2 linked regions of the Saccharomyces cerevisiae S288C genome follow. The protein of the gene in region 1 interacts with the protein of each later gene in a pairwise test. Each region holds a gene or a part of one and is shown on either strand. Other genes may lie near its edges. The genes, in order: POG1 and DMA2.

Region 1 (3,565 bases):
TACTTCCACTTCTTCTACTTCCTCTTCCTCTTCCTCCTCCTCCTCCTCTTCTTCTTCTTCTTCTGGCAGTGGTAGTATCTACGGTGATTTGGCCGACTTTTCAGGCCCAAGTGAGAAATTCCAAGACGGCACTATTCCATGTGACAAATTCCCATCTGGTCAAGGTGTCATTTCTATTGACTGGATTGGCGAGGGTGGATGGTCCGGTGTGGAAAACACCGACACTTCCACTGGCGGTTCATGCAAGGAGGGGTCCTACTGTTCCTACTCCTGCCAACCAGGTATGTCTAAGACCCAATGGCCATCCGATCAACCATCTGACGGTAGATCTGTCGGGGGTTTGTTGTGTAAAAATGGTTATTTGTACCGTTCTAACACTGACGCGGATTACTTATGTGAATGGGGTGTCGAGGCTGCCTATGTTGTTTCTAAACTAAGCAAGGGTGTCGCCATTTGCAGAACCGACTACCCGGGCACTGAAAACATGGTTATCCCAACCTATGTTGAAGGGGGTAGCTCTTTGCCATTGACCGTTGTTGACCAAGATACTTACTTTACTTGGGAAGGCAAAAAGACATCTGCTCAATACTACGTTAATAACGCCGGCGTCTCAGTTGAAGATGGGTGTATCTGGGGTACTTCTGGATCTGGTATTGGTAACTGGGCACCATTAAACTTTGGTGCTGGCTCCACTGGTGGAGTGACATACTTATCATTGATTCCTAACCCAAACAACAGCGACGCATTGAACTACAACGTCAAGATAGTTGCTGCTGATGATTCATCCAATGTCATCGGTGAATGTGTTTACGAAAATGGTGAGTTCTCTGGCGGTGCTGACGGGTGTACCGTCTCTGTTACTTCCGGTAAAGCTCATTTCGTCTTATACAATTAAGCTACGTGACTACTACTTTTCCTTTTTTTTTTCTTTTTTCGAACACATCTCACCCCCTATACCTCACACAATCACTATGGTCCCCTTTTCTTTTTACCGATATTTATACTGTCCACCTTTTTCTTTTCGTTAATGGCCTCAATGTTTCTGTACCATTATCCAAGTGAACTTGTTAGACGACCAAATATAGCCAAGATTCATTACGATTATCTTTAACTAGCAAGTAGTATTCTTGGATAGAGAGATTTTCAAAGACGGAACAATTTTAAATAGATTTACATAAGAAAACACATACTGTCCGATACCCATAAGAAATTTAAGAACTCTTTTCATCTTCAGCTTTCCGGCCTCCTTTTACTGTAGCCTGTTCCTAGACAGCTAAAAATAGTACATATGCAGCTCTGCAATAGTCTCAAAGGGGATATTGTGTAGGTTTACGAAATCATCACATTTCCGAATCAGGACATGAAGGCACAACTTTCCGCACGTAGTGTTTTCAGCCCCCAGCGCCTGTCGGCGCGAAGAGGATCTGCGGAGATGAGCTTTGCCCCGCCATTACCCGTAAAATATTACTGTTTTGGGCAATTGTGGATCAAAAAGGGAAAATGCGGATGGTGAAAAAAATTTTTGGAAATTTACTGCTTCAGATGGGGGAACTTTGTAAGTTCTTCCTTTTTTTTCGTAGAGGTTGGAAAATTCAGAGTGCTAAGAAATTAAAAGGTATGCACTGCCTATTCTCATAAAAGCAAAAGTGCACAAAAATAATAAGGTGTGAAGCAATAGTAGAAAAGACACTGGGAACCCAAGGTATCTTATTTTAACAGATAAGTAAAACTAAGATCAAATCGCGTACTGATATCACTTAAGGTTCGCGTATTTTAAAGGCTACGCAGAAGAGGAAATAAATTGCGTGCAATCCCTGCGCTTAACTCATACAAAAAGGCGCAAAACATTTCAAGAGTCCCACGATTAATTGCAGAAATTGAAAAAAAATAAGTAAAGACGAAAATCAAAGTGGATGCCATATTATGAAGCAGGAGCCACATAGACAATCCGAAGAAAAAGAGAAGCCGAAAGGACCAATGGCTGTTGAACGAGAGCAGCATACCTCATTATCTTCTGGTACAACCGTGACAGCTAGTACAGGAGACGAGAGTACCAACAGTAGACCAGTGGAATCATCGCAAACAGAAAAGTCTCTATCGCTTCGAATAAGAATATTAAAACAACTTGGGTTTGACGATATTCAAGAACTAAATGCATGCGACACTGGCCTAGTGGAGCAATTTTTAAACGTACGATTGATAAACGACACAAAAGAACTAGAAAAGATACGCGAGTCAAATCTTGCGAAACTAAACCAGATTATTGATAAATGTATGGAAAGTGATAAAATAAGTGATTCGACATTAAACAAGATTCTTGATATGTCCATGAATAGAGATACAAATAATGATAACAACAATCATCTTACGATACCGTCTCCGATAACGACAAAGAAACGCAAGATAAACGCCTCCGAACTTGCAAGTCCACGAGGCCATAGAAGATATAGATCTGATATACCTACAGTGTCAGAAGTTGAGACAGGGGTCGGATACCCTCAAATACACCAGCAACCAGGCGCATATACTTTACCTATGCCTGCAAATCAGTGGATGAGCAACCCGTATATGCAACCTCCGCAACCACAAGTGCAACAGATAATGCCGCAGTATTTATATCCACCAGGGATGGGACCACAAGCTCAGCTTCCTACAATGAGCTCAAACTCGGAGTCCCAGACACCAGTGATGAGCTCACAGTTTCTTTCCTTGAACCAGCATGGCCTTTACCAACAAAATATAGGTGCTCATCCGGTAATGAGTATGGGCCCACAGGCAAATATATACGGGCAGCAGCACCAGCTGCAACCTGGTCAGGAACGAGACCAGTCAAGAAAAAGTTTTAGTCATAGAAGGTCACAAAGTGCCAATATTTCCATGGCAAATTTTAGGTCGCCCATGCGAAATCCCCAGCCGGCTTCGTCCCAAAGGCCCGTCAATTTTCTCATTCATACACCAAAACATCCTCCTCCCACATGACGTGCAGTAATTTTCATTTTTATCACCTAATTTCTAAAACTATATCCCTTCCTAACCTTCATTCGATGCATCCGTCCACCTTACTTCAGTTCAAAAAAAAATATATATCCATATATATGCTACAGTGTTATTATTACGATTTCTTTGCCTTTACTCCTTATCTCATTTCAATCATGAATAAACAGGATATTGATAATATATGCTGTCATTTTGGATTCAGTCTGCTTAACTGTCTTGTCCACCCCCGGTGTTCTTACCCGTCTGAGCGGTCGTAAGACGGAGGTAATAATTTTTCAGCATCCTGACCTCCCCCCCAAATCTGTGCCTTTCACCACATTTTTCTCGAGAAAATGTGTCTTGGCTCAGATGATGTCGTATGAGCTACTGGACTTTTTTTTGTTGGCCCTGATGAAAATAGTAATGGCGGTTACAGAACAGATAAACGGCGTCACCATCTTTTCCTAGATAAAGAAGCAATCTCTAGATAATGGGGTATATAAATATACATTGTAAAAACGGCAAGTCAGTTGCTGGTCATTTTAGTAGAAACTCTGCTCTCAAACTTGAGTACTGCAACGATGGCAGG
Region 2 (4,354 bases), on another chromosome or scaffold:
CCGTGATTCGTATCTTTAATTGGATAATAAAATGCGAAGGATCGATGACCCTTATTATTATTTTTCTACACTGGCTACCGATTTAACTCATCTTCTTGAAAGTATATAAGTAACAGTAAAATATACCGTACTTCTGCTAATGTTATTTGTCCCTTATTTTTCTTTTCTTGTCTTATGCTATAGTACCTAAGAATAACGACTATTGTTTTGAACTAAACAAAGTAGTAAAAGCACATAAAAGAATTAAGAAAATGGTTAAGGTCAGTTTGGATAACGTCAAATTACTGGTGGATGTTGATAAGGAGCCTTTCTTTAAACCATCTAGTACTACAGTGGGAGATATTCTTACCAAGGATGCTCTAGAGTTCATTGTTCTTTTACACAGAACTTTCAACAACAAGAGAAAACAATTATTGGAAAACAGACAAGTTGTTCAGAAGAAATTAGACTCGGGCTCCTATCATCTGGATTTCCTGCCTGAAACTGCAAATATTAGAAATGATCCCACTTGGCAAGGTCCAATTTTGGCACCGGGGTTAATTAATAGGTCAACGGAAATCACAGGGCCTCCATTGAGAAATATGCTGATCAACGCTTTGAATGCTCCTGTGAACACCTATATGACTGATTTTGAAGATTCAGCTTCACCTACTTGGAACAACATGGTTTACGGTCAAGTTAATCTCTACGACGCGATCAGAAATCAAATCGATTTTGACACACCAAGAAAATCGTACAAATTGAATGGAAATGTGGCCAACTTGCCCACTATTATCGTGAGACCCCGTGGTTGGCACATGGTGGAAAAGCACCTTTATGTAGATGATGAACCAATCAGCGCTTCCATCTTTGATTTTGGTTTATATTTCTACCATAATGCCAAAGAATTAATCAAATTGGGCAAAGGTCCTTACTTCTATTTGCCAAAGATGGAGCACCACTTGGAAGCTAAACTATGGAACGACGTCTTCTGTGTAGCTCAAGATTACATTGGGATCCCAAGGGGTACAATCAGAGCTACTGTGTTGATTGAAACTTTGCCTGCTGCTTTCCAAATGGAAGAGATCATCTATCAATTAAGACAACATTCTAGTGGGTTGAATTGCGGACGTTGGGACTATATTTTCTCTACAATCAAGAGATTAAGAAATGATCCTAATCACATTTTGCCCAATAGAAATCAAGTGACTATGACTTCCCCATTCATGGATGCATACGTGAAAAGATTAATCAATACCTGTCATCGGAGGGGTGTTCATGCCATGGGTGGTATGGCTGCGCAAATCCCTATCAAAGACGACCCGGCAGCCAATGAAAAGGCCATGACTAAAGTCCGTAATGATAAGATTAGAGAGCTGACAAATGGACATGATGGGTCATGGGTTGCACACCCAGCACTGGCCCCTATTTGTAATGAAGTTTTCATTAATATGGGAACACCAAACCAAATCTATTTCATTCCTGAAAACGTTGTAACGGCTGCTAATCTGCTGGAAACCAAAATTCCAAATGGTGAGATTACTACCGAGGGAATTGTACAAAACTTGGATATCGGGTTGCAGTACATGGAAGCTTGGCTCAGAGGCTCTGGATGTGTGCCCATCAACAACTTGATGGAAGACGCCGCCACTGCTGAAGTGTCTCGTTGTCAATTGTATCAATGGGTGAAACACGGTGTTACTCTAAAGGACACGGGAGAAAAGGTCACCCCAGAATTAACCGAAAAGATTCTAAAAGAACAAGTGGAAAGACTGTCTAAGGCAAGTCCATTGGGTGACAAGAACAAATTCGCGCTGGCCGCTAAGTATTTCTTGCCAGAAATCAGAGGCGAGAAATTCAGTGAATTTTTGACTACATTGTTGTACGACGAAATTGTGTCCACTAAGGCGACGCCCACTGATTTGAGCAAATTGTGATCTCCCTTGCCCCAGTGTACACATATATAAAAATATATTCATGCCTATATGATTATGTATCGGAATCCAAAAACTTATCTTTATATTGCTTCGTTTCGTAGTTAGCAATGAATCATCTTATCATGATTCCTTTTTTTGTTTTGGCCAGATTAATGTATCACGGTCGACGGCGAAGGCATCAACCATTGTTGTGGAATTTCAAACACAATACTTGATGACTCCAAACGTGGGCATATATTTTGATTTGAAAAGAAGTCGAGAAAGTATAGCAACGCATTGTATACGTTTGAAGCTTTCAGCAAAGGATATACCGTGGAAATGTACACGCCTATCCCTGCTAATACCCCTGCTCCCACTGCACCAACTTCATCGATGACGTCCAACTCTTCATCCGCATCAAATGCCAACACCACTAGCAGTAGTGGCATAAACCCAAGGAACAGAGCCAGTGGTACTCCATCCAATGAGCGGGCTCGTCCGGCGTCGGGTATCAGTTCGTTTTTGAATACCTTCGGAATTAGGCAAAATAGCCAGACAGCTTCTTCTTCTGCGGCTCCTGATCAGCGTCTATTCGGCACAACCCCATCTAACTCACATATGAGTGTGGCCATGGAAAGTATCGATACCGCTCCGCAACAGCAGGAACCACGTCTGCATCATCCTATACAAATGCCTCTGTCGGCCCAGTTCCACGTTCATCGCAACTATCAACTCCCCATCTCCATATCTCTCACTGCCCCTACAACCACAGACCACCAGCAATCATCTGCGCATAATTTCGAAGGCAACAATGTTGGTAACGTTCAAGAGTCTTTGAATCAGCGGCAGCCTAACGGTACTAACAATACCACAACCTCGATAATTTCCATGGCGCCAGCGGCTACAACGAGAAATATAGTCGGTGGTGCAGATGGATCTACTATTGTTAACAACAGTCAGGAAATGTATAAGAATTTACGTCACTTGATATATGCTGCAAACCAGCCAAATGGGACCGAAATTTTACATTTGGATTTACCTGCAACAAGTGCAGAGGAGTCAAACAATATGTTCAATGTAGATGAGGTCACTTTGAAGCAAAGGAAAGATAAGCATGGTCTTTTTAGTATAAGACTAACCCCATTTATTGATAGTTCGTCCACGACAAATCAAGGTTTATTCTTTGAACCGATTATAAGAAAGGCTGGCCCTGGATCCCAATTGGTTATTGGCCGCTATACTGAGCGTGTTCGCGATGCAATTTCTAAAATACCTGAACAATATCATCCAGTTGTATTTAAATCCAAAGTTGTTTCAAGGACACATGGTTGTTTTAAAGTTGACTCTCAAGGTAACTGGTATATAAAGGATGTGAAATCATCTAGTGGAACTTTCTTAAATCACCAAAGGCTCTCACCCGCTTCCTCTTTATCGAAAGATACCCCTCTTCGTGATGGTGATATTTTACAGTTAGGAATGGATTTTAGAGGTGGCACGGAAGAAATCTATCGTTGTGTAAGGATGAGGATTGAGCTAAATAGATCATGGAAACTAAAGGCAAATTCGTTCAACAAAGAAGCTTTACAGCGTTTGCAGAATTTACAAAAATTAACTACAGGTATTGAAGAAGAAGATTGTTCGATTTGCCTATGTAAGATCAAACCGTGTCAAGCAATTTTCATATCACCATGCGCACATAGCTGGCATTTCCGTTGTGTAAGAAGATTGGTCATGCTCTCATATCCGCAATTTGTTTGCCCCAACTGTAGATCAAGTTGTGATTTGGAGGCCTCCTTTGAAAGTAGTGACGAGGAAGATGAAAGTGATGTGGAAAGTGAAGGTGATCAACTGGTGGATCAACTTAGCGTCTTAATGGAAACTTCAAAGGATGTTGATAGCCATCCTTAAGGTCAAAGAAAATACACAGTTTGAAAAATAAAGAAAAACCACCGAACTCCACATCTCGTACCTTAATATTATTTTAATTATTCTCTTAGTATTTATATATTTGCGCCGTTTACATATTTGACTTATTGTTTTCAGGAATACAATACCTCCATCGTTGGCAGTCAATTTTGCTTTCACATATAAAACTAAAAAAAAAGTAAAGAACTCGGTTAATCCTCGGTTAGTTTGCCAAGCTCACCTATTAATCTTAATAGGACTTCTTGAGTTTGTTGTTTGCCCAGACCATACTTATATATTTCATGCCCACCTTCAACTATTTTCCATTCTTGAGTCTTGTGAGAAATTTTGGTCAAATCTCTTTGCCAATCGCCCCATAATGCCGACTTCTTCACCATTTCCTTAGAGCTAACGATGCTTGTCTTCACATTTTGCAAAGATTCTGCATTGTTTGTCACATCTCTGTAACTTAGAATTGAACTCGTCACGCTTTCCAAAAACTTGGAACGCAAGAAACGTCCTTGATATTTCATATCACGCCCATATATACGTTC

The links.
Region 2: the proteins of POG1 (region 1) and DMA2 interact in a two-hybrid assay, tested with the Saccharomyces cerevisiae proteins (one study listed by BioGRID).

The regions. Positions count from the first base shown.
Region 1 is NC_001141.2:128,687-132,251, forward strand, and holds POG1 (Pog1p), read left to right. Parts: upstream 1-1,923; coding exon 1,924-2,979; downstream 2,980-3,565. Other genes in the region: putative glucosidase SIM1, read left to right, coding at 1-895; QDR2 (cation transporter), read left to right, coding at 3,558-3,565. UniProt on the Saccharomyces cerevisiae protein: Transcriptional activator which promotes cell cycle recovery with CLN2, after pheromone induced G1 arrest, probably inhibiting the ability of STE20 to activate the pheromone response pathway.
Region 2 is NC_001146.8:406,107-410,460, forward strand, and holds DMA2 (ubiquitin-conjugating protein DMA2), read left to right. Parts: upstream 1-2,234; coding exon 2,235-3,803; downstream 3,804-4,354. Other genes in the region: malate synthase MLS1, read left to right, coding at 252-1,916; YNL115C (uncharacterized protein), read right to left, coding at 4,013-4,354. UniProt on the Saccharomyces cerevisiae protein: E3 ubiquitin-protein ligase which functions in cell cycle retarding in conjunction with the UBC4 and UBC13/MMS2 complex, 2 E2 ubiquitin conjugating enzymes. Involved in nutritional control of the cell cycle.